Linked DNA regions of Schizosaccharomyces pombe. Changing the gene in region 3 together with the main gene of any one other region gives a genetic interaction. Each region holds a gene or a part of one and is shown on either strand. Other genes may lie near its edges. The genes, in order: swd3, ani1, nur1 and mms19.

Region 1 (4,268 bases), on a different chromosome or scaffold from region 3:
GTTCTTATAATGGTTAGTAAATGCATAAACACATTTTTTAAAAAATGAAAAATAAGGAAGTTAAAGAGTAATCTCTTGTCAGTGATGGTTACAATACCTTCACTCATCCATATTTCTTAAAAACATACCCTCGATTGGCAGCTAAAATCATACGTAGCCAGCTGAAAAAGTCATTAGCTTTAGAAAATTAAAATTTAAACAAAAATAATAGTCTTACAGCAAAGGATCCGAAGAGTCTGAAGAGACAATTCCATATAATGGTACTTGAGACATAACCAAAAAAATCAACAAGGTGACTCCAGTCCATAACATTTTTTGCTTGAAAGGGACCTAGATTCGATATTAGCTTTCGATGTCTCTTATGAGATACATATGCTACATACCTTTCGTTCGGGTGCAGCAATCTCCGGTAAGAATGGCGCGAAAGGCTTTACAAGGTCCAGAAATCGTACTGTATAGTGTTAGAAATCAATAAGAAATAAAGCATGGTCTTACAATCACTCATATTGTATAATTTAATTAGATTTCTGCCCAACTAAACTTGCTGGTTCTTGTTGACAGTGAAGTATCATACTGAGGTTTTGGTGGTGAATTAAATTAAGGCAGCAGAACGATGGAGATAACTATTCACTTAAATGCGATAACAAGTAAATATTTCGTTTCATTATATAGTTAATAAATACGCTATAATACCAGTATAAACATTTGTTGAAGCTGTAATGAATGCCTGAATTGCCCATTTAACAAGCGTTAGAGAAGTTTTTTAAGCCGATTAAAATTCAAAATAATAACTGCTGAAATGATTTTACTTCACATAGGGATTAAAAGGAGATGCGATTTCCATTACGACCCAGGCAACAAGGTTGACTAATAAATCAAGATCATTAATTTAATATGGAATAAGAAGGGAACTAAAGGCTATGATGAAAGGCTTAATATGTGTACCGATCTAAGATGCCAACTGTTTCACCAAAAAATGAAAACACAATATTGTTTTACCAATTTGTAATTGGGAGATTGGATCAAATAAATTGATTACCAATTCATGACCTCAACAAGTAATTCTAGTTGTTCATAAGTGTTAGCCTCTTTCTTGCAATTACTATCCACGTGATTTAGATGTTTCTGTGGAACAACAGCTATCTGGATAAAAAAACTTTGGGACAAACGAGAGTGAAACATTTTTAACTTAAATTATTTGCATCACTCTGAAAGTTATGAGTTGACTCATTCGAAGTCAGTTGAGAGATGAATCACAGACACTACTTATTGAGAACTTTAAGCAATGGAAAACTTGATATCGAAGGAGCTATCAAAGTCAATATTAATTGAATGAGGACATTATGCAAAGAACGTATTTTGGTTCATTATAAGGAAACCTCTTTTTAGTATCTTTCAAACAAGCAGGAGCTTCATGAATGCAAGGCCGGAGAGAAATTGGACTAGCCTACTCACAGACTAGAAGATTACAAAACTTCAAAGGATATGTCTCAGTACGAAGATCGTACCCTTAGCGCAAGAGTATTGAACCCTCGTCAAATTAGTGAGCAATATCAGAAAAAAGTTTTTGTATTAATTCCTTGTAAACTTTACGTTTCAGTAAAAGGAGCCTAGTCGTTCTTCTTCATTCCCTAAGCTTTTTCATAACTTCAATGCGTGAATTATTGTACAATTTGTAGTAAACTTCCATTTATTAAGTCTTTGAACTAAATGGCTTAAAAATGACAATATTCCTGAATATCCTTTGCAGAGTAGTTTTCGACGTGAATTGCGAGGAAAATGAACCTGTAAACTTTATTGAAGACGAGTCAAATTATTGAGTTATTTAATATAAGTCCAAAGAAAAGCGTTTTTTAAATAGTCATTATTGTGGTATGTTGCTAGTTGAATGTTATACACTTCGTTGTCCACACCAGTTACTGCTTGTGCATACAATAAAGCTGGATGCTTAAAAAATTGACTGGCATCATTGTAATTTTATAATCTACATATGCAAAAAGCCCATGAACTTTTTTTCTTGTACATAGACTCTAGAAAGAGGAAATAAATTGATCGATTTTACTATCAGACAAAGGCGTTTGTTTATGATTGTTGAGATCATTCAATAAACCTTTTAATACTTCCTGATACGATTTTTGTCTTTAGTCCATTTTTACGAGAAGTACAAACAATCGGTCTGATAATTTTTCACATATCGTATATTAGAAGATGGATTCCACAGCTCAACAATTTCCTTTGAACCACGACCTGCAAGTACAAAAAGACCAGAAAGGTGTTGTAGAGGAAGATGAGGAGCAAATACATAAGCGCATTCGCAATTATGAATCACATTCAGGATTCTCTGAATATTGTACTCTTTTCGGTCATGAGAAAAGTGTTACATGTGTCAGCGTTTCCCCTAACAAACGATGGATCGCTACCTCTTCATCCGATGGAACTATAAAGATTTGGAGCGCACTTACGTTTCGACTTGAATGTACACTTTTCGGCCACTACCGAGGAATATCTCAAGTAAAATGGGCAACTGGTAGTAAGTATCTAGCTAGCGCTTCTGACGATAAGACCATAAGGATTTGGGATTTTGAAAAACGGTGCAGTGTGAGATGTTTAAAAGGTCATACAAATTACGTTTCATCAATTGACTTTAATCCATTGGGCACGCTTTTGGTGTCAGGATCATGGGATGAGACTGTCCGTATATGGAATCTTCAAGATGGAACTTGCCTTAGGATGCTACCTGCACATTCAGAACCTATTATATCTGTTTCTATATCAGCTGACGGAACTTTATGTGCGACTGCTAGTTATGATGGAATGGCACGAATTTGGGATGTTCTCAGTGGCCAGTGTTTAAAAACATTAGTTGAACCCATTAATGTTCCTTTGTCTAATCTCCAGTTTACAGAAAATCGAAAATATCTGCTTGTAAGTAATCTTAACTCACAGATCCGTCTTTGGGATTATCGCCGAAACCGTGTGGTACGAATATTTGATAGCCACGTGAATACAAGATATTCTATGTCTTGGGATTGCTATTCTTCTAAAAATATTCCTAAAAATACTGAAGCTTTACCCAATAATGACTCTTCCTACCCTGATGATGCAGAATCTTTCATGCACGATGCTTATCTTTTAATTCCTAGTGAAGATGGAACAATCCAAATTACAGATCCGAGTACAAAAATAATTATTGACGATTCAATTAGGCATTCCGATGATCCAGAAACATCACTTTTAAATGTAACCAGTTTAGGTCCTTTCATAATCACATCAGGAACTGATCCTTATGTACGAGTTTGGGCTCCTTCTCTTCTATTGTCGAAGCACGAGAAAGATGGCTTTTCACCTTAACCTGAATTGTTGACAAATAATGTATAAAGTTTAAAGAAACTACTTGGAATTACGATGAAGATAATGATGCTAAAGGTTTACGTGCGAAAACAAGCTCCTTACTTCCAATCCAAAGGCTAGTTGGCCTATGAAAACTTAAGTGGATCGATACATAGAAGATAAAATTAATTTATACAGTCTTCGATTATTCTTTACAGAAGATTTCTCGAAGAACGAATGTCGGCCAAGTTGATATCCTGAAATTGATGGTTTTTCTAATTTTTCTCGTTTATTAAACCAGTTATATTCATTTTGTTACTAATTTTCATCATCTAGTTTAATTCGACAGATTTTAAAGGGAGATAAATTTTTTACTTTTTTTTCCTAATATTTATTCCTTTACCACTACTGATATTCTAATAAGGTAAAACTTTTTTCGAATTAAATCATTTGGCCGAGTCAAACTTAAAATAATTGAGAAAAAAACGTATTACCTGATTTTCAATGAGTGAAAACCCAGCACATAAGGATTTGGACAGTTTGCAGGTTGACGAGAAAGCAAAAAGTTGGATTGCTGAAAAAGTTGAAGAGGAGCTCCGAAGGTTAGAGTCAGTAGGTGCTAAAGCGATCCCCTTAGATGTTAAGAATTACAGTGTTATGTTAGATGAAGACACGGATACTGTGGTAAACAGAATTGAGTTGATGACTAGCTTCGACTTTGATCATGTTCAACAAATTCTTCTATCCGCCGTACAGCCCTATCCTTATGATAAAAACTTAATGTTTGTTTATTTGGTGATATTAACGCCTCTTCCACACCCTATGTTAATTCCATATTTGTTTGCACCCAAGGTCGTAGGCAAGAATCTACTACCCCGTGCTGACGGATTGGTAGAGAATACCTTGAAAAGATGGACATTCATTAATGATAAGCTCAA
Region 2 (4,572 bases), on a different chromosome or scaffold from region 3:
CGTTTGTTCATGGCAATCTCATGATTATCGTTTACTTCATTTCTTATAGGAGTAGGTAATTCAACCATAAACAAAGGATCTAACTGGCTTGGATATTCCGTAATACTTCGCTTTTGCAACCTCAATTGCTGCTGTATATCAGACTGCATCGAAGGTGGTAATTGAGCTAGAGCACTGGAACTGATTTGAGAAGATGACGGCAGATCATACGGTGTTGATGGAATAAGTTTTGGAGACAGCTGCTTCTTTTGACTAATTATTTCTTTATCTTTACTTGATATGTCAACAGATGCACCTTTTAGCGACACTTTATTTCGAGAAGTTATGCTCTGTATAGAGCGGTAATCTTTTCTAATTTTAGAGTTGTCTTTAATAATTTTGAGAGCTTGTAATCCTATACCACGTACATCTCCTGGATCGACATTAATTGTTTTATACATTGAGGTCACCTTCTTCCATATTAAGTCAAACGAATTAGTAGCAGAAGTAAAAGTTGAAGATTTTGTAAATGAAGTGACTTCCCCAGCTCCAAGGTACTTTGGTGGACTGAAAGGGGCTCCATCAGCCCTTTTCAAAATCCGAAGCTGAATTTGATGCAAAAGCACTTGGCATTTACCCATTCTGGAAAGCAACTCATGAAGCAACCGTTTTAAGAAATCTATCCCATCCTCTTGAAAAACGAAACGAACACCCCAATTAACATCTACGGATATGGACCTCCGTGGGGTTTCATTATTGATTATATCGGTATCAATTCCTCTGGAAATATTGTATAAATGCAGACCGTAATTTACCCCAAAAGTCTCTTGAAGATTGAATTTTTCAATTCTTTGCAGCTGCCCAATAGTACGCACACCGTACAAATTAAAAAGTTTCTGCGCTTGTGAAGAGCCCACCCCTGGTAAATCTTGAACAGACAAAGGACTCAATACATCAAAAACATTTTCTATTGACAAAGAATAAACGTTGTGAGGCTTCGCCTTCCTAAGTGCAAGTCTTGCTAAGAGAACATTTGGGCCAATACCAACGCTAACTTCGCAATTGGTTTTCTCGCGAACCTGCGAGCGGATAGACTCGGCAATCTCAAAGCAATCTTGAAAAGATGAAACACTAGAAGTTATATCTAGAAGAGCCTCGTCTATACTTATAACCTTAATATAGTCGTGAAGTGTATTAACAAGGATAGTGTAAAATTCTCTAGAAACAGATTCGTATGCTCCAAAATCATAATCAACAACCCGTAATGAAGGACACAGGTTTTTAGCTGTTCCAACGTACATACCATTTTTTATGCCAAACTTCCGAGCCTCATAATTACAACTAGCTATTTCGGAATTTTTTATACCATGAGCAACAGCAACGGGCTTCAGTCGTAGCTCATGAGAAAAGCGTGTTGAAACGGAAGCAAAAAAGCAATCAAAATCAACATGAAGAAGGAAACGAGATTTTTTTGATTTATCTTTCATAATTGGACGAACAGGTTCAGAAGCAGTAGTCATTGCTTGGATTTCATTTTTAAAATCAGCTTTCCAAGTACTTAAGTGATGTAAACGAGAGGAGCTAAAGAAATTCTCAAGAAAATCTTGATTTTGAGTGGTTGAATTTCGGACATTGGGATTTTTTAACAATTGATAGTTGTGCAGTGAAGACGCTGATAATCCACTCAAATCATCTAAAAATCCCTTTGCTTTACTCTCTTTTGTTTTATCTTTTTCATTATCATGTTCTTCTTCCTGCGAGCTTGTTTGAATATCTTCTAAGTTACCTTCGGGTTGGCTAGGTTTAGAGGCGACAAAAGAAAGGGTAGCTTGAGCCGATGAAGCTTGAAAGGTACGATAATTTATCCACGGAAGAATTTTCTTCTGTTTGATGCAATCCACTATCCATTCTGGTTTAACCACTTTCTGATGCTTCCATTGGCGAGCTTTGGAAGGAGTGAGAAATGAACACACCAAATATGATATGCTTGTTTTTCCATCAACATATTGTATAAAAGTACCTCCATTTGAAACTATCATTTGCCGTAATTCGGTATAAGACGGCTTTGTATATCCATTAATCGCTATTGCAAGTCCATGAAAGAGATCAGATTTAGAATCTTCATCAATACTTTTGTATAGAGCGGCATTTTGATTTTGAAGCTTTCTTTGTTTCCGGGAAAAATAATCTGCATAGTCGTGGAACCCAACACTTTCGTATGCCTCATCGTTTGCTTCGTCAAAGTCTGCAATCCCTACTGGGCGTCGACGCTTCCTTTGATTAAAAGCCATCCAGCGCGCTTCTCACTTTCAGTAAATATAAGTATTAATATGTTTCTGAAAGGAAAATAATACAAATAATAATGTAGCCACTTAAGCGGAAAAAGTGTAATTAATAAACAAACAATGTTTATAAAGAAAAACTAACTGCAAGAGCTTTTTTCTTTCATTATTTAACCTTATCCCAAAACTCGTGAAGCCAAACTATTTCAAAGTAAAAAACAACGAAATATCAAAAATAATTACTACGCGTTTGTTGTGATGCACGCTCGTCCAAATTTAATTAATTTTGAGTATAATTTGCAAATCGCGGTAATACGCACTACCCTTACTTAATGGAATACACAACGGTTTATGTATCAAAATTTTTTACATCCTCTACCACCTCACCTCTTAGGCAAGAATAAGTCATGTCTCTTCCAATTGCTGTTTATAGTCTTTCGGTAAAGGGAAAAGATGTTCCCGCTGTGGAGGAATCTACAGATGCATCTATTCATTTGACTATGGCATCCATTGATGCCGGCGAAAAGTCTAATAAACCAACTACTTTATTGGTGAAGGTTCGTCCCCGTATCCCCGTTGAAGATGAAGATGACGAAGAACTTGACGAACAAATGCAAGAGCTTCTGGAAGAAAGCCAGCGTGAATTTGTTTTATGTACTTTGAAGCCTGGTTCCTTATACCAACAGCCTTTAAATTTGACCATTACTCCTGGCGACGAAGTCTTCTTCAGTGCATCTGGCGATGCAACCATCCACTTGTCTGGTAACTTTTTGGTTGACGAAGAAGATGAGGAAGAGGAAGAATCTGACGAGGATTACGATTTGTCTCCTACTGAGGAGGATCTTGTCGAGACTGTCAGCGGTGATGAGGAAAGTGAAGAGGAATCTGAGTCGGAAGATAATTCAGCATCTGAGGAGGATGAATTGGATTCAGCTCCTGCTAAAAAGGCACAGGTTAAAAAAAAACGTACTAAGGATGAATCCGAGCAAGAAGAGGCTGCTTCTCCTAAGAAAAACAATACCAAGAAGCAAAAGGTTGAGGGTACCCCTGTTAAGGAAAAGAAGGTTGCATTTGCCGAAAAACTTGAACAAGGACCTACTGGTCCCGCTGCTAAGAAAGAAAAGCAACAAGCTTCTTCTAATGCACCTTCTAGTCCCAAGACTCGTACTTTAAAAGGAGGCGTGGTTGTAACTGATGTTAAAACTGGGAGCGGTGCGTCTGCTACCAATGGGAAAAAAGTTGAAATGAGATATATTGGGAAGCTCGAAAATGGAAAGGTTTTTGACAAAAACACTAAAGGTAAACCCTTTGCTTTTATCCTTGGTCGTGGTGAGGTTATTCGCGGGTGGGACGTCGGCGTTGCTGGAATGCAAGAAGGCGGTGAGCGTAAGATTACAATTCCTGCTCCCATGGCTTACGGCAACCAGAGCATTCCAGGAATTCCCAAGAATTCTACCTTAGTTTTTGAAGTCAAGCTTGTTCGCGTTCACTAAATTTTCATGTTGAAGATGAACATACTTTAACTCCCGTGTTTAAGAAGATCGCGGATTAAACTATGTATTCTATTAACTCTTTTTATCGCCTATCTTTTTCTTAGGTTTCAAAAAAAATCAGGGTATCATTTTGTATTTGAGTTAGGAAATTTTTTTTTAGTTAAGTGTTACAAACACTTTGGATATAGGACTTTTGGATGATTTGGATTGTTGGGTGATAAAGGAGATATAATCAATATACAATTTTTTAGAAAGAGCTGTTTGTATGTGTATGAGCATTAAGAGAAAAGAGAATAGCGCTTCCTTGATCGATACTAGTTAAGGATGTTTAAATTATGGAATTTTGAGTTTGAGTAAATATAAACGAGAACATTCCGAAAAACTCTATTAAAAGTAAAAAAAAACATATTGATAATAAAAGAGCCATTATCTGATTATCGCTAAATAAGTCTACAAACAGCTGTTTGTTTACGAAATTCTTAAAATTAATTATCGTAATAATCAACTTAAAAAAAAACAAGCAGTTTTAGAATTTAAAGAATTATTTTTATTATTTGTCTTTTTTCTATATTGTTTATTTGAAAATTGTGCTTCTGTTTACAGGCAAATCTTAAGGCGGGCATATATTTTTCTGAAACGTAAACAATCAACATGCCCAAATCAAGCAACTTGAAAATGCAGAGAAAAGGCTCTTTAAGAGAAAACGGTCTCGTGAAGGGTTTAAATAAAAATAGTAAGATATAAATTGGTGTGATAAATAAGTTAATGACATAGAATTTTCGATCAGCAAGTTAAAAGAACTATCTCATGCAGATGAC
Region 3 (7,804 bases):
AATGCTTTCTTCATAAAAATTCCTTTCCAGTACCATTACTACCCAGCTGGGAGATTTTTGAGTAATTGAATGAATAATTGCCTTTCAATAACCAGATTTCTTATGCTCCACTTTCTATATGACTAAAATGCGTGGTTGGTAAACGCCAAGAATATATGCATAGTACGCGCTTTTGCAACAAAGCGTGGTGGTGTTAAATGGGCCTACCATGATACCATAATATCGAGGTTACCGAGGTACTTAGCAACACTCATGATAAGATTCCTTCTAAACTATATTTACTACATCTTTTTCGTAAAAAATGCTAAAAAGTATTAATATTATATGAATATATCTAATTTTTTAATAAAATTTACGACTTAGCTATTTTTAAGCAACTTGGATATTACCGTGTAATGAAAATTTTTATTTTTATTTTTATTTTATTTTATTAAGTCGTTGTTCCTTCAAACAAAAAATTTGTAGTACGATTGGCAAGGTAATGCAATTGGGTGATCTATAAAGCGAAAAATAGAGTGTGATCCACCAATATGAAAAATAGTGCTATAAAAATCTGGGGTTTTTTAAATCAATAAAATATTAGATAATTTGGTAGTTTGCTTCCTCTTTTTCCTTTAAATAAATAAAATACTTCACAAATAACCAAATGTCAATTTTGCAAAACAATAAATAAATAAATGAGTCTAACGTTTGGAATTAAGTATCCTCATTGTTCAAAAAACACACATCCGGTTATACAAACCCTAAAGTGTCCGACGAAAGCCAGGAATTAAGCATATTGTTCTTCAATACGCTTTCGAATACGAAGTGCATTTAGCAAGTGTTTCCACTGCCCATAAATAATTTTTCTCTCTTTCATCTGCTGCTTCTCTATTCTGATTTTTTCACACTCAAGAAATTCTTCGTAAACCATTTGAGCCGACTCTTCAGGTACAATTATACCTGTAGTAACTGGAATCGCACGATGTTTACGAAATTCAAACCCTGTAACTGCATCCGCATAATCAATGTTGAGTTTCTTGGCAATTTTAGCAATTCCTCGATATGGCAAATGTGCTGCGCCCTTGGGGATCATGCTCTCAACAAAACAATCCATATTACCATAACCGTTCTTAGGAATAATACCATCTTTGATTGGAGGCGGAACATATAGCTCAGTTTGATCGGAAGAATATAGACCCTGAAGCACTGGTTCATTTGTTTCAGCAACCCGAAATTCGTGTTCACGCTTCCTGCTAATTGTGACGGCTCTCGCCTTCACCATTTTTCGAGGTTGTTCTCCTTCCTTAATTACTCGTCCTTCTTTGTGATAATTTTCAGGCGTTTTGCATATGACCACATCTTTTCGGAGATACACTTCCTCAGAGGTAGCTTTCTTACCGTTACCAAAGGTTGCTGTCTTCACAGGCTTGGCGTTAGGAAGCAATGCTTCTTCTCTTCTAAGATGTCTAATCAATACAAATTCAGGATGATTCTTAAAATCTGCAAAGCTTTTAGGTTCGCGAATGGGCACTTTACTTTCCAGTTCTTTCTCTTCATATATATCCTCTGCATCTTTATTGCGCTTTGCTAGTTGCCCAAAAATAGCCTTATAAAAATCAAAATACTTATCTGCAAAAGAAACGTGTCGAATTTTCTTAAGCCTACTTGATTGGTAATCTGTATACCTCAAAGTTACATCTTTTGCGTATAAATCGTTATCATATGCAGCAACAATACCCATTCGTAGATGTTTTGACTCTGCATACGCTCCTTTGGGTTCAAACCAAGTCATATCGTTGGTATATACCCCATTCAAGACAACCGCATCTACCGCAATCCATTTCTTCTCACTTTGATCATAGATTTCCGTCCAAAAAATAGGATAGCGGAGGTCGTCATCTATAGATGTACTAGTTTCTTCAGGGAGGATATGTGGAGACCAATCATCATAGGAAGCAGTAGAAAATGTCAAAGGTTGAAGAGAAAATATAAGTCTTGCTTTCAGATTCAGAGATCGACAGAGAGCAGTAAATCCCTGTGCCGCCAAATCCCGGCTTCCTTTTAGCGAAAGTAAGGATGCTTGGTATTCATGAAAGTTATGAAATATTTCTGGCGAAAAGCCGATATCAAATCCTTGTTTCAAAGTACGATACCCCAACTTCCGAAGCCCATGACTCTCAATTTTAAAAGATTTATTCCACCACATCCGAAGCCCATTTAACAATTTTAACAAATCCTCGTGCGTCTGGCTACTACAAACCCACGCCTCCACTACGGACGGTTGCTTTTCGACAAGCAAATCGCGCAGCCCATCAAGAAGTAAGGAATTCATTAACCAGCGATTCCTTACTGACCCATGGTACAACAAGCAAGTAAAGTGCATAATGTGAATAGATAATCGAATGCTTTTATCCATTGCACTAGAAGAGCCTTTCTTCGATTCTTTTGTAAGTTGAGGAGTGATATGCTGTGTGACTATGTGTAAATCTTTTTTATCTTCTTGTTTATTAGGAGAAAGATCAACTTGTTCCCAAGTGTCAAAATCGTCGTCAAACTCGTCATCTTCTGAGCTGCCTAACTTCTCATTGTCTTCATCGGAACCTTTTTCGGATGAAGATGCGCTCCTTTGAAGTGAGTTTAACGCTGATATATTGTCATCTAAACTCTCAGAAGGAGGTTCCGCTGAGGAAGACAAACTTGGCTTTTTCGACTGGCTACGAGTTTGACGGTGAGTTGAAGATACAACAGTTTCCTCTTTCACTTCAGGATTAAGAGGTAAGTTATTGGTCCGTGTCCTACGTTTCCTTCCGCGAACAGAGTTCTTGGATGCTTTGCGTTTGGGTGGCATTGAGCAAAGAGTTTATGTGAATTGAATCAACTTTAGGATAATGCTTGTTTAACCGCTGGTTCAAATAATATCAATAACGATAAATTGAATAAAAAGTTGTAATCACAGCCACATCTGATATATTCTTAGTTAAAGAATTATTATTTCAAGCAATCTCTCCAACAAGAAAGCAAAATTCTAACAATGGCTGTGATGATGATTATTAAAAAGTCCTTTGAAAAAGAGGTCAGTATCAACTGCGCAAGAATGGCGAGTAGTTTGTTTGCTGAATATTATGAGCTATATTAACTACTTTTGATTTCAACCGTGAAATAAAGATTTAAAAAATTTAAATCTGAAACATAACATGAAAATAAATTATTAAATAAAAAGTTAAACCACATGCATCACTATTAATAAGAGACAATAAACATAAGTCAAAAAAAACTTCAGCCGTTAAATTTTAAGGAAATAATTCATTAATTAGTAAAACGTCAAACGAAACTGTTTAAATTTATGTCACTGATCGAGCTTATATTTCCTAAAAATAGGAATTTTAAATCGACGACTGATTTTGCACAGCAGTAGTAGTGGTAAAGTTGAAACCATCAATAACACCAATACTTAGGAACATCAACCTGCGAAAGCAAATTCTTTTTTTTTTCTTTTTTATTGCACACTTGTTTACGTACCGGATTTAAAAAGTTATCTTAATAAAAAACTTTTTATCCTTCATTGTTGCAATTGAAGTCGATAATAGCAAGCTCGACCTAGCTAATTAAAAAGCCTTTGCTACTCTAATTAATACGTAAGGTTTGAATCCTGAAACGGAGAAGTGCCCTAATTTCGTTCATTAGTATACGAATATCGGAATTTACCTTTCAGGTCCATGGTTTGTTTCATTTCTAATTCGGCGTTGTTTTATACTCAAAAAGTACACCTGAATTTCAAAACATTGCTTAAAAATCTTTTCAATGGGAAAGTTAATCCGTCGTACATCGCTGACTTCTAAAATAATCAATCTTCCGATCGATTACTTTATCTATGTTTGCGAACAATTTGACAGTGTAGAGTGGGATAAAGTATCAGATCGTTATTCGATTCCCTTTAGCTTGGCTGTCAATTTTATTTTTCTCTTAATGCGCATTTATATAAAAAGTACGCATGTACCAGTTCAACGCAACCAGCTCTTTGTGGATAAGCAGTCCATCAACACCTCTAGGTCCTGGTTTCGTGCCTTCCTATCATTTCTCTCAATTTGTTTTCTTTTCATCAGCTTTCTCAATTTCATATTTAGCACTCGATTTCAAAATAAGCTGTATAGAACTTTGCCTCAAGACAAACGCACGACGACTTCTACTCCCAATGTAAAACCAGTTTTCCAGCACTCAAATAATGATGATGGCGATGAACAAGTTTTTGAATTGAAAGTATGGAGCCCAAATCAATTTTTACTAAATTTTGCTTGCTTATTTTCTCCTGCTCATGCCTTGATTTTATGGTTTTATAGCACTTCTCTACGCGTGACTTTGTTGACTTTTCTCCTTTCGTTTACAACATTGCATTTTGTCAATAAATTTTCCTTACTGCTGAAAGATCAACAATATCTTCATCGCCAGGTATTCTTTGAGTATGATAAGAAATTTGTAGAACCTCGACTTTCGGTAGTTAAACGAGATGTTGCCATTAATACTACTCGTGGTCCCACAACCGCATCTATTGAATATTTCACACCCCGAAAACCCATAGATACCTTCCTTGAACACCGAAGTTCTTCACATGATCATCTCACTTCAACACCCCGTACCCCTATAGCGCTTCAAAGAAGAAGTGTTCATCATCTTCATGACAGCGGAATTAGTCGTGACAGCAGCTCACCATTTAAGAGATTTCCACATCTTAGTGATGGTAGTTCTCGCTTTTAATATTTGTCTGAATTACATGGTTTTTGAATGACCCACTGCATTTCCATTTATCATTGTTGTTTCTGTTAATTCCTATTTTCGAAAAGTTTTAAGTCATAACTCAATTCAGACCTGAAATAATTGTATTCATGAAGACTAATTAGGGTATCAAACACCGTCATTCTAAAAACTTTCGATGATCGACTTAGAACCAAATCCTTATAATTTAAGCTTATTCAATATGATCTCTTATTAAAATCCTTACATGATTATAAATATGAATACTCTTGTTTGTTAGAAAATATATTTAAAAGTGATAATGTGCATCAATTTTGTATCTAAACTAATATGTAAAAATCGAAGCAAAATTTCTAAAAGGAAAATAAATTATATTAAACGTGCAAACCGATTAACTAAAATGATTTTTAGAAAAAACTCAGCTTTGTAAAAAAGGCAATTGTTATTTCTAACAAAAGACGCACAACAAAACAATTCGTTTCCGTGCAGCAAGTAGAAAATTACAAAAATTTTATCAATAAGGTCATAAATGAGAAAAATGAGAAAGTCCCAAAGAGATAGTTGAACAAGGTCAAGCAGTTTTAGGTTATAGCAGCCATAAAAATGGGAAGAGCTATTATGTAGATTTCATTCACAAGCAAATAGTGCGAACAATTATTCAACAAATTTGACGGATGAAGGAAAATAAATGAGAGTGAACAAACATAGAATAAGGCCAGCTTTAATTTCAAGTCAAAATTAATTTTCCTCTTCAGCTTGTGTCGTAACCCCATGAGCCCGACATAACGGGCAGGAATTATTACCAGTGGTAAGCCACTGATCGATGCAGGCCTGATGGAAAAAATGTTTACAAGCCTGCAACTTGCGACATATGTCACCGTTAGTATAAGTTTCTAAACATATTAGACAAGAATCAGCACTAGAAAGTGAAGCATCATCGAAATATGCAAAAAGTCCGCCCGATCGTTTCACATCTTCATGAGAAGCGACTGGTTTCTTCGCTGGACCCAGGTATGTAGTAAGAGCCAACAAGTCTTCATACATGGGATTATCGCTAAACAAGCTAACTGTAGACAAAACTGGATGATGTTCTGGAAACAGACCACCAAACACATAGATAAGCCAATCACCATGGGTGCTATTAGAGAAAGTTCCCTCTGAATGCGTTTGAGTAACCATGTCGGCAGCCCCATTGGAAGCCAACGTACTAAAGTCGCTAGTATTATCATCAACAGAAAGTTGTTCCTCAAATCTATAGCTCCGTGCTAAGCTAGAACGTCTAGTTTGATTAGACAGTAAATCTCGATCAGACGGAAAATGATGGAGTCCTGTAGATAACCTTCCAGGCTGTGTGGAAAATGAGGAGGTATTATCGGTAGTCGGCTGATGAGTTTGTGACATCGAGAAATTGCCGGAGGCGTTCCTCGAAAAAACATTTGATTCAGAAGGCACTGTTGAAAACGGTCGTTGTGAATTGGAATTTGAACTATCCAATAATGAAGAAATGTAATCATCTCCAATGTGATTTTCTCCAGTTGAACCATTTACAGGTTCTTGAGCTCTTCTTAGTATACTTGAATTCCTTAAATCCACGGAAACAGTAGGTTGATTGTAGCGCGAAAACGAAGAAGTAGATTGATTACCCGAGTTGGACGTTGGAAACAAATTTCTGGAACCAGGAAAAAGATTTGCAGGGAAATCGGATACCGGCGTAAAAGCCTGGCTAAAGTCACTTCTTGTAGGTTCAGGATGTGAAAAAGTTGAATTGCTTCTCTCGAATGTAGGAGGAAGATCAGTGGAAAATTCAGTGGACTGAGCCATTCTTTCGGTTATATCGTTAATGGATATGTTTTCTCTACTCTCGTTATGAAGGCTTTGATTTTCTTGAGTCATAGTTGGCGCATGATCCTCGGAAGTCTCGGAAATGCTACGCATACAAACGATAAGGACAGGCACCAAAGCCGGTCCATTTGTATCTGAAGCTTCGTTATTAGAGGCAGGTTGATTGTGAGACTGATGAAACGACGGAAAACGGAACATCCTTAAGTATTGAAGGTCTGAGGAATTAGACTCAGGGTCAGAAGAAATTTGATCATTTCCATTTTGAGAAGAGTTTTGAAGAACATTAGTCAAATTTCCACTACGAAGGTCGGTTAAGAACTGTTCAAATGAACCATCAACAGAACGAAAGCGAGATGGTTCACCGTTTGCCATATTCTGGGAGTCCATATTCCTAGCTTCGCTATTCATAATTGAAGCAACTGTTTCAATGGCAGCAGCAGAAAGTAACCGGCTAAGCATATTGACGGTGCTTTCATCATTACCGTTAAGAGGTGTAAAATTCGAATGCGCTTCAGGATTGCTGGCATTCGGAAATTCTTCAGGAAAGTCATTAAATGCAGAAGCGATAGATGACCAAGACGACCGGCGGGTTTGAGAGTCATTATCATTAGAATTAGGGATGGGTGAAGGGGATTGATGTAGACGACTAAAATCTTGATTAAGATATTGACGCAAATGGTTTATTAAAGAAGGGGAGTTACCGGAGTTATTTAAAAGAGCATTATTTTCCAGAACAGTGGGAAGGGGATGTTCGTTGTTAATTGATTGAAGAGGTGTCGTGTAAGTTGAATTTGAATTTGAGGGAAGTGAATATTCGTTTACACGTTCTTGAGAAGGGTCATTTGATGAGCCGTAAGAACTTAAAAATGGAGCAGAATGGAAGGAGGAGGTAAAAGGGCGTGACGAATTCCTATCCAAACGAGAGGAGTTACCGGACGGACGAGGATGAAGAAAATCATAAGAGCCAATCGCTCTCCTCAATGGGGAGTTTCCAGAGGTGCCTTCTTCATACTCATGATAAGTTTGTGCTAGACTACTGTCATCTAACGCCATTGTACTTGAATAGCCATGATGTGAATATGCTTCATCTTTATGAGGTTGGGTGGAACAATGAGCGGATGAGGTAACCAGGGTTTCGGAAGGGAACCCATTCGAAGAATTTGGGGTATTGCGAGATGGAGTGTCGGCATAATTTTCACTAGGAACAGCAAAATGTGCTTCTCGACTACCG
Region 4 (10,114 bases), on a different chromosome or scaffold from region 3:
CATAAGTAAAATAGAAACCTTGTCTCCTTCTTTCTTTAGTCTGTCGATTTCGTTTTGCATAGTAGCAATCAATTGACCAGAAGACGGTTTTCTAGATCCTGTTTTTGCATGGTCATGAGGTACTCCTCTACCAATATACGTTGCCTCAATATGATCTGTCAATTTTTCTAAATCATTTGCCATATCTTGGAGCGTCGAAACTTCTTCCTTTCTATTTTCTGGGATCGCTATATTAGCGTTTGCTTGAACTATTATTTACTTATTTCTCTTACCAATATTATCATGAACTTGCTCGATTTCATGTTCTAATTTTTCGGATCCCTCTAAACCCATTTTTTACATTAAATAAAAGAAAGAGAAATAAATATGAATTAGACTTGCTTCATTGCAAAGGATAAGTTGCATCCTTATTTTTCATTCATTGTCCTAAAGCATTCATTTATTGCACGGTAAGTCTCAGTTGGACTCGATAAACGGTTTAAGAGGGTGTATCAATCATTTAGATGAATGCCAAGATTTGAAGAAAATAGTATAATTATGGAATTATGGAACAAATGATTATTATTCTACATTATGTGTATAGACACAAAAATTTACTTTTAACAAGTCTTTCTCTTTAGTTTACATCCCACTCTTAGAAGACCATGGTTTATTTTAATAATAAAATATGCCATTCTATCATCGATGAAAATTGAGATTTGTATAATAAATAGTTAAATTTTAGTGCGCCAAAAATTAAGGGCTCATTTATGCTTTATACAGACTTAGTTTTTATAAACGTTTGCTATAAGTAACAGCATTACATAAATAGCAGAGGGCTAAATGCTGGCTAGATAAATATGAATGTAAAGTATGTTAAGAAATATTGAAAGATTACTCTCATTTCCAATGCAGGATTAAATGAAGTATATGAACAGATTTTGCATATATACCAAAAAACTCCAATAAACAGAGTGGTGATTAGCCACAGATACATTTTTTCTGTCTAGGTATGAACAGAACTTTATTTTATCAAAAGATGGTGCATTAAACATTTAGCTTTTATTTCTCCTTGGCTTTCCAATGAAATCCCACTGCGACCCAGGAAAAACAAGCTTTCTAGGAAGTGTTATCTGTAGCGGAAGGCTCTTTCGTTTCCTCTGATTTCACAGACTCCAAAAACGACGGTCGCCAACGATTCAAAAGCTTTGCGGCGGAAGCTTTAACATCTACATTCTCTTTCCACATCGTCTCAAGAATATCAAGGCATTTTTCACGTACAGGTTAGTCGAAACATTATTAAATACTGAAAAGTCATGAAACCGAGCTTCGTCTTATCGGGATCAAGACATACAAATTTAATTTTGTCAACTATAGCATCGGTGAGTTCTGGCAATTCAGACATAAATATCATAAAAACTTTATCTTTTGCCTCTAAGTATGGTAAAATGCTGTCTATTACTTTAAGGGCCCATTTTTCATATTGTGGACCTTCCCACTTAACATCCTCATATTCATGACAATCCGGATTTTCAAGCATTAGTCGATCATTATACCATTCCTCGGATAACCAGTTCAATATTAAATTTGTACTGGAACGCCAGTTAGATGCAACGTAAGTAAAAAGCTGCCCTCGAACAAATGAAGACAAAGTGAAAGAAGCATCTCCAGATTCCTCACCAGACGTTACAGGCTGATAATTCAATAAGCCTCGCGTACAAAGTCGTGGTAAGAGAATTGCCCAGTGACGCTTATCCCATACCGTATTATCCACATTTTCCAACGTTAAATTTTGAAGGTTAGAAGAAGAAACTATGCTTCTTTCAAATTGAGGAGCATAATCAAATAATCTGGATAAGGCACCGTGAAAGTATTCTAGAATAGCCATCGGGGACAGCGAATCTGGAGTGGGTAATTCAAACGCATCAGTAACGACATTGGAGGGAGCACTTCCCTCTAGTCGAGCTGCTTCACGTTCTACACTAGCATTGATAGTCTGAACATCTACCTCAGGCGGTTCATAATCCTCGTCCTCGTCTTCATCAACTTGTTGATCAAGACCAAGGGATTCAGGCTCAGAGAGAGAGCGCACTCTCTCTCTCAACATATTAATTTGCTGATGAAAGTAGTTTTTGTCTATCTTAAGAAGAGAAGTAAGTACAATTTCAGTAGCCACTTCAACCGGAATTGAAGTTACATCAAAATTTGCAAGAGGATTTATAGCAGTTTGTGAAGCAAATATGCTGATTAAGGGATTATTTTGCAAACCATCGTGAGAGCTAAGTTGGGGTTGCATTCTTTCTACAAGACTTTGTACAGCAGAAGACTTAACACGCTTAGAGGCAGCACTAATATTTCCCTCATATTGCCGTTTCTTCAAACTTTCATCGACTTTGGTATGATAAATTTGTCCGGAAAGATAAGCGTGAATTTTTTCGACGGAAGAAGAAGATGCACCTGTACTCTTAGCTAAATGAAGTAAAATAAGTTTTAGATTTTTTTCAATACACCGTATAGCTAACTTGCTTTCGTTCGACAGCTCAATTTCATCTTTTGGATTCGGAAGATGAAATTCTAACAAGCTTCCTATGATTTTTGGTGCTAGTTCCTTCCGTCGCTTCACCAAAACCGGTAAGATATTCAAAACGCTAGTAATGTAAAGGACATTCAAAGAATCCGAGAAAAGGATGGAAAATATTTTTTCAATTAAGTCATTTGCTTCTATTCTGAGGATATTTGAATTGATAAAAGGATGATGTGTGGGAACCTTAGAAAGAGACACGTCCGATTTAGTTACAAGACGGGGATCTCGAATCCCAGGCACTTGCGTTAAAATTACACAAGAAATAAATTTAATACAAGAAATTAAAAGAGGCTTGTTCCCTTTGTCAAAGTCATTAATGATTTCGTTTTTTAGCTTCGTTAAAGTGTCCCAGGTAGATGAATCGTTAGGTGAAGTACAACAGTGCAGAAATACTAGTGGGTAGATTGTGCAAGAACAAGATATAACGTCTTTTTTAACTTCTTCATTATCTACTGCGTACAGAGAAACAATTGTATCTAGACAAGTTACAGCTAAATCCAATTTCTGCTCAAATTTAACATTTTTGCTCGAAAATCCAAACCAGAGGAAATTTGCCATCCATTTTTTATACCTTATATCAGAATAGTTTGCCACAGAAAGAATGTTTCTCACGATTTCTGGAAAAAGGCTTTGATCAGTTTTAACAATATCTCGAGCCTGGTTTAAACGAGTAAGATGTTCGTCTGTCTCCGAAACTTCCATACCAGGACTAACAGAGAATTTAAGATGATAATTATATTAAATACTTATATGCTTATTGATCAATTTCTCAAGTAAATGTTAAAACTTTGCATCCTCTTTTTACTTTGCTGTCGGTTCAAATTTTGGTAAGAGAGGGAATACATAGCGCAGTGGTTTAAGGATCGTTAATATGTAGTGACTATATATAACGATGGAATAAAGGTTTTTGTGTATGATTGTAAAATCTTGAAGTAGAGATTTGCTAAAAAGAAACAAATTTTTAAAAAAAGAAAATAATATCCGATCTTTCTTCTAATTTCTTTAATTCATGGATTTAAGCAATTTAATTTACACAAATTCTTATCAGATTATCTAAATACTTTAATTAGTTTAACTTCGCTTCGGTAAAGAAAGCATACATAGCAAATGACATTTTGCAATTTGCCATTGTTAACCACATTTTCTGAGAGACGTTTCAACGATCTACTGAGGAAGAGTGCCGTCTACCTACTAGCTAGAAGAAAGTCAGCTTCGAAAAAGAGGACAAGGTTTCTAATCTCTGCTTCTCAATTTTTGAAATTCTGTTTTTTCTTATAGTGTTTATTGTATAGAAAATTGTTAGCATAATAGTACATATTAAATTTGAGGAAGATGAGCTCGAATTTAGTGGCTTTATATTTATTTTCTATTGATAGAAGTCAGGATGAGGCAAACGACGTTGTAGATCGAATTGTCGAAGAAATTGTCACTGACAGAATGGGGATTGTCGATTTGGTTACTTCAATTGGAGAGTATTTAACTGACAACAATATCTCTGTTAGAGCAAAAGCAGTTTTATTACTGTCACAAACTTTAGGTGAGCTTCCTAAAGATAGACTTCCTGCGAAACATGTATCTGTACTTCTTCAGTTTTACTTGAGTCGTTTGGATGATGAAGTTACAATGAAGGAGAATGCGTTAGGTATTGGAGCTCTTCTAAACATGCAAAACTTCCCTGCTCAAAAGATTGTGGATGTTTGTAAGGCTCTCTTCAGTTCCACTGACATGCCAAAATATGCTCAAGCAACTCGTTTAAACATTTTAAAAGTATTTGAAACCATTATAGATAATTATCTTTTCTGTAAGGATCTTTTTGGAGAGTCATCAATTAACTTAGTTCTCAGTCATCTCTTCACAAACTCGCGATGCTTTCTTCTCTGGAATTTGTTCAACTTTTGCTGGTGAGAAAGACCCTCGTAATCTTATGCTGGTCTTTTCTATGCTTAAAAAAATACTTTCTACATTCCCCATTGACGGATTTGAACAGGTATGGATCTCATTGTTAATCGCCTAATGAAATTACTTACATGTAGCAATTCTTTGATATCACTTATTGTTATTTCCCGATCACTTTCCGTGCTCCGCCTGATGCCACCAATTTGGCTATTACTAGCGACGATCTTAAAATAGCTCTCCGGTAAGGCATCATGACATGTGAACTATTGCTAACCGTCCTTTGTAGAGAAACCTTGGTTGCTAACGACGCGTTTTCAAAATTACTTCTTCCTGCTTTATTTGAAAGGCTGAAGGCTTCAACTGTTCGCATAAAAATCGATGCATTAAACATTTATATAGAAGCTTGCAAAACTTGGCGCGTGGGTGCTTATTTATGGTCTGCTAAAGACTTTTGGGAATCTATTAAGCAAGAAATACTAAATTCGACAGATGCTGAACTTCAAAATTTGGCGCTTGGTGCACTCAATACTTTAGCTAGTAAATTTTATAAAGAGGAAGGGTTTTCATCTTCGTTCACAGAGTTTGTGGATATGATTTTGATCCAATTATCACAGCGTTTACTCGAAGATGTTAATGTTAAATCTTGCGGATCTTGTGCAGCTGTATTTGCTTCCTTGGCTTCTATCTCTGTGGAAACATTCAATTATTGTTCATGCAATTTTTTACCCAGTGTTCTCGATCTACCAATGGTAAATGAACCATTGGAGAAACAAAAAGGGATGCTAGTTTTTTTGGAATACGTCTATAAATGTTTGGTACTTTTATACGGAAAGTGGAGAAGCAAAAACCAGGCTGATATTGACAACCCGCTACTTGTTTACAAAGACAAGCAACTTAGTTTTGTATCAGGCTCCTTGATGGGAACAGCCAAAGATGAAACTGAAATACGCATGTTGGCTTTAAAGGTTATTTTTTTAATGGCTTCGATCAAGAACTTCCTAACAGAGAGTGAATTAACCATGGTACTTCAATTTTTGGATGACATAGCATTTGACTTTTCCGATCCTATTAAGAAAAAGGCAACAGAATGTTTGAAGGATTTAGGGTTACTAAAGCCCGACTTTTTACTTTTGACTTCATTTCCTTTCGCATTTTCAAAATTAACTGATGATGTTACTGCTAAGTCATCTTCTGAAGAAACTTTTAAGCAATATTTATCGGTACTAGTCTCAATATCTGAAGAAAGGAGTTTGTTTAAGGCCCTTGTCATCAGACTTGTTGAGATGTTGAAAGATCAATTTAAATCCAAGGAAATGAGTGTTGATCTTGTCGAATCAATTGTTCAAAGTTTATCCGTTGCCTTTAAGGAAAGAAATGATCGAAATGAACAAGAGATTCCATTCTTTTTTGAAGAACTACTGAAGCAACTTTTTACCCTTTGTTTCGCTAATTGCGAGTCAATGAATGTGAGATGCCTTATTTATGTATCACAGACAATAAATGAGATAGTGAGAGTAAACCATTTTGAATTTCAAGAAAAGTTTGTTGGTCAATTATGGAAATTATATATGGAGAATTCCAATTCCGACTTAATTGAAACTGAAGGTTGTGAAAAAGCTGCAGAAAGATTTACGCTTGCAGCATCTTTAAGTGATCAGAAATTTTTAAATTTAGTGGTATTATTACAGGGTGGTCTTAATGGATTGAGTAAAAAATTACATTTTATCGAAAAGTTGAATATTGAGTTGTTGAATTTACTCATAAATGTTGTTTTTGTTACGGAAAGTCCTGGCGTTAAAATTAGCGCTTTACGTCTCATATCCTCGCTTATTAACAAATGTGAAAAAGACGAAGATATATCAAGTTTTATATCTTCGAAGGGAGTCACGTCTTTGTGGGATAAAGTTTATACTGGAACTCCAAAGGAATCTGAAGCTGCACTCGATGTGCTGGCGTGGGTTGACAAAGCTTTGGTCTCTAGAAAGCATAGCGAGGGCATTCCTTTGGCTTTTAAATTATTGGATACTTTGAATTTACAAAATGTCGGAGATTCTTCGGTCAAGGCACTTTCAATAATTATCAAAGACGATCCTGCGTTGTCCAAGGAGAATTCATATGTCGAAAAGCTGTTATACAAACAACGTTTTTACGCTAGTGTTAGTCCTAAGATTTTAGAACACATTTCAACTGCTACTGGAGGAGAAAAGTCTTTGTATTTAATGCTTCTTTCTAATGTGATAGGAAATGTGCCAAAAGAAATTGTAATTCCAGATATGCCATCTATCCTTCCACTTCTACTTCAATGTCTTTCACTGTCTGATATTAGTGTTAAACTTTCGACGTTGAACGTTATACATACTTCGGTTAAAGAATTGACTTCATTATTGACGGAATATCTTGATACTTTAATTCCTTCGCTTTTGGCAATCCCTAAGGATATGAATAATCCAACTGTTGTTCGTCTTTTAGCCCTTAAGTGTCTTGGAAGTCTGCCAGAGTTTACTCCTACCACGAATTTACAACTATTTAGAGATAAAGTAATTCGTGGACTCATACCATGCTTGGATGATCCTAAAAGGTAAGAACCATTCATTTTTAGTGAAAAGAATAACTGTTAACTACAAAATGCTAATGAATAATATAGGGTTGTAAGGACTGAAGCAAGTCGAACTCGTCATAAGTGGTATATATAAAGAGAGATTTTGATAAGTCATTTTTGAAAAATAAAAACGTTAAATATTGTATTTTTTAGGCCAAGGAAGAGATAAAGCTTCTTTTATAATTAAATTAAATTCAGTAGCAAGATCTGGATCTTGATAAATTAATTTATTTTTGTACGCCAAATTTTTATCGTTTAACCATTCATAAAAGTTAACTTCGGGACAACTCTCACTAACACTTTGAATTGTTGATACGGTGTTAAGTAGAACCTCGAGCGTTGAAATTGAGCGTAAATGCCAATTATTCATCAAGTACTTTTGAAAGATGCTACACCAAGTCGAAAATACCCACTCTATTGGGATAACTTTAGAAGCTTTGCTAAAATTGACATTTTCCAACGAACGAGCAATATTTTCAAAGATGATGGACAACCTACTTAGCAGTTTCTCCTGAAAAGCAGAAGGAATATCAATATGGCTGTTTCTCGACCAAAAATCATACAACTGAAGAAGAATAGCCGATCCTAAATCTTTACTAATGAAAGCCTCAGATAAAGGAAAAGATTGGACAGATTTACTTAATAGGAAAAGTTTCTTCAGTAATGTAACTGGGTGGTTTTCCTGCCGTAAAGTGTTCACAATTTTTGGCATAATATTCATTTCTAAAGCCTTTTTCTGAGCTATGAAATTATTGCTAAGCGCTGATGCCAAAACAACAGACGACATTGAACGAATCGTATTTGGATAGTCTTTCCCATCCATCAAAACAAAAAGTTGATCGCACAGAGGCTGTTCAAGTACATCCTGACCAAATTTTATATCATGAGCCAAATCACGCATTGTTTCTAAAGACGACAACACAATGCTTGGGTCTGAAGTATCAGGATTTAAAATTACAGAAGATGACTGATCGAACAACTGTCTATCGTAAAGTGAAACAGATGAATCTGAGCTTACAGTCCTCACATTCAAAAAAAGGTAACATATTGCAAGAAATAGATTCGACAAAGAGAATGTTAAAGTAAAAAAAATTCTGTAAATTTGAGTATTTCTTTTCTTTTTAGACGAGTTTCCCAGAATCGAAAACATTGAACCGATTAATCTCCAATTTTTTCACTCCTGTTAGAGAGTGGTTTATGGTAGGATAGATTTCAAGAAAAAAAAATCCATAGCATGATTAGGCAATTGCCGCTGGTAAATGGAAAACGTAGCAATAAAATTCATGTTAAAAAATAAGAATACGATACGGACGTTGTGGCAGGCATGGAAGCCTTCTAACGAAAATGTAGTAATTGAGTATTTCGCTTTTTGGCAACAACTCAAATTGAGAATTGATTAAAAAAATTGAGCTCAATCAGTTTTCAATTTGAGACAAGTACTTTGAAATTTCCGCCTCAAAAGTTGCACTTGATATTTGGCCATCTTCTTCAAAAATGTGAGCAACAGGAACCGACCATTCAAGTTGAACAGCATTTCTGTTTTTGAGTACGGTAAATTTAGTAGTGATTAGAGGCTTATTTTTCAAAGGTAAAAAGGTATCCGCAGAAATTTTGATGTGTCTTTCTTTTTTCGTAGCAACATAAACAGTACTACCCTTGACTACAGAAGACCAAAATGTGAGCAAGCAGGAAGCTAGGAAATATAAAGGTAAAAGATACTTTAAGTAAGATTTTAAAACACCAAAACCATAAACATACTCAATGCCAAATGCGAGGCCGGCGGGTATAATGCAAGCTATTGCGATCAGCAAACGAATATCTTCAAATACAAAGGATTGCTTATAACCATTTTTGTTAAAATGGTTTGTTAATTCTTTATCAAATTTAGATTTGAAATCTGAAACGTTATATTTTGGCATTTTTACTATTAGCTTAATTATGGTAGAGGAAGCAAGGCTGTAGTTACTGATGATCAGATATGCGGTTTCGTTGATACGATGGCATGATGATTTTTTAAAATTAAGTAACCTAAAAGATGTTTTAATATTTAATATAAATGCCTGAGAGCAAAAACATGAACTCCGCTACTGGAACGAAAGCAAAACAGTCGATTACTAAGTACTTTATAATACTATCATGCTCTTTCAAATACAACGAGCCATAAATTTGAAATAATAGCCAAATAAAAAATATATATGGATTCTCAATAGAAATTGGCGGAAGGGTTTCATAACAAATTAATTTGGTACAAAATATCATGCTCATTTCCTTGTCTCGATAATAATATCAGAATTGCAATCGCAATGACTGTTGAAAAGGATTATGAAATGGAAAATGTTGTTTGAATGTAGCAGTACTTGGCGTTTAGTAAAAAAATAGAGGAGTACAATATTGATATTTCCTTTCGCAAAACCTGTTTGTTCCAATAGTGATATCCCTCGATGAACATATTCCTCGCTTTTATTTATTCAATTTTCACTCGCTAATTGTAAGTTATTATGCAAATGAAGATAAGGAACCCGGTACAAACCGTTTAACAAGCAATTGCTATTTTCTATAGGAAAAGCTAGATTGCAAAAACTACAAAGCATATTGATTTCGTTTGATACAAATGTTTTTTAGGCAAGACAGAGCCACTTGCGAGGGCTCCAATCCTAAATCCAATTTCTGAAATTCGCCTTTTTTACAAATAAAATGTATGAACGAATTTGAAAATGGAACTTTTCTCTCTATCCACGAGTAATGATTAATTAACCATTCAATAAACTTTTAACCTTAATTCATTGTAATTACTCTTTCTTTACTCTTCACATTGGTTTTGCTATTTTGTCTACATGAACGAGTCGTACCGCTGTACGCAAAAATCCTACACTAGGATCAAGACATACAATTTCTACTAAAGCCAAGACAGGTTGCGAAATCAATCAACTTGCAAATATGCAAGCTAATGGGTTTTCGTTTGGCTTTTACGATGAACCAAACAATTTAAACGGCCAAGATGTCGGTGCGGATTCGTTACCGAGCGTTGCTATAGAATCGGATTCTCTGGGACATAT

Evidence for each region.
Region 1: mutations in nur1 (region 3) and swd3 together harm fitness more than expected from each alone (negative genetic interaction), as found in Schizosaccharomyces pombe (2 studies listed by BioGRID).
Region 2: mutations in nur1 (region 3) and ani1 together harm fitness more than expected from each alone (negative genetic interaction), as found in Schizosaccharomyces pombe (2 studies listed by BioGRID).
Region 4: mutations in nur1 (region 3) and mms19 together harm fitness more than expected from each alone (negative genetic interaction), as found in Schizosaccharomyces pombe (2 studies listed by BioGRID).

What each region holds. Positions count from the first base shown.
Region 1 is NC_003423.3:546,462-550,729, forward strand, and holds swd3 (Set1C complex WD repeat protein Swd3), read left to right. Parts: upstream 1-1,902; 5' UTR 1,903-2,208; coding exon 2,209-3,351; 3' UTR 3,352-3,768; downstream 3,769-4,268. Other genes in the region: translocon alpha subunit Sec61, read right to left, coding at 1-3, 129-161, 218-330, 384-451, 496-505; SPOM_SPBC354.04 (uncharacterized protein), read left to right, coding at 3,835-4,268. UniProt on the Schizosaccharomyces pombe protein: The Set1 complex specifically methylates 'Lys-4' of histone H3.
Region 2 is NC_003423.3:4,061,889-4,066,460, forward strand, and holds ani1 (FKBP-type peptidyl-prolyl cis-trans isomerase), read left to right. Parts: upstream 1-2,631; 5' UTR 2,632-2,668; coding exon 2,669-3,754; 3' UTR 3,755-4,072; downstream 4,073-4,572. Other genes in the region: deoxycytidyl transferase Rev1, read right to left, coding at 1-2,270; sporulation specific PIL domain protein Meu14, read left to right, coding at 4,406-4,487, 4,529-4,572. UniProt on the Schizosaccharomyces pombe protein: PPIase that acts as a histone chaperone. Histone proline isomerase that increases the rate of cis-trans isomerization at prolines on the histone H3 N-terminal tail. Proline isomerization influences H3 methylation thereby regulating gene expression.
Region 3 is NC_003421.2:447,395-455,198, reverse strand, and holds nur1 (protein nur1), read left to right. Parts: upstream 1-3,435; 5' UTR 3,436-3,783; coding exon 3,784-4,734; 3' UTR 4,735-4,990; downstream 4,991-7,804. Other genes in the region: DNA repair protein Rhp42, read right to left, coding at 770-2,830; SPOM_SPCC4G3.12C (ubiquitin-protein ligase E3), read right to left, coding at 5,470-7,804. UniProt on the Schizosaccharomyces pombe protein: Has a role in meiosis.
Region 4 is NC_003424.3:3,854,528-3,864,641, forward strand, and holds mms19 (TFIIH regulator Mms19 ), read left to right. Parts: upstream 1-3,690; 5' UTR 3,691-3,895; coding exon 3,896-4,364; exon of another isoform or gene 4,365-4,407; coding exon 4,408-4,550; exon of another isoform or gene 4,551-4,596; coding exon 4,597-4,700; exon of another isoform or gene 4,701-4,745; coding exon 4,746-7,037; exon of another isoform or gene 7,038-7,103; coding exon 7,104-7,152; 3' UTR 7,153-7,191; downstream 7,192-10,114. Other genes in the region: protein Rng8, read right to left, coding at 1-218, 273-333; protein Sil1, read right to left, coding at 7,192-8,208; signal peptidase subunit Spc2, read right to left, coding at 8,474-8,977; ribosome methytransferase Hpm1, read left to right, coding at 9,996-10,114. UniProt on the Schizosaccharomyces pombe protein: Key component of the cytosolic iron-sulfur protein assembly (CIA) machinery that mediates the incorporation of iron-sulfur cluster into apoproteins specifically involved in DNA metabolism and genomic integrity.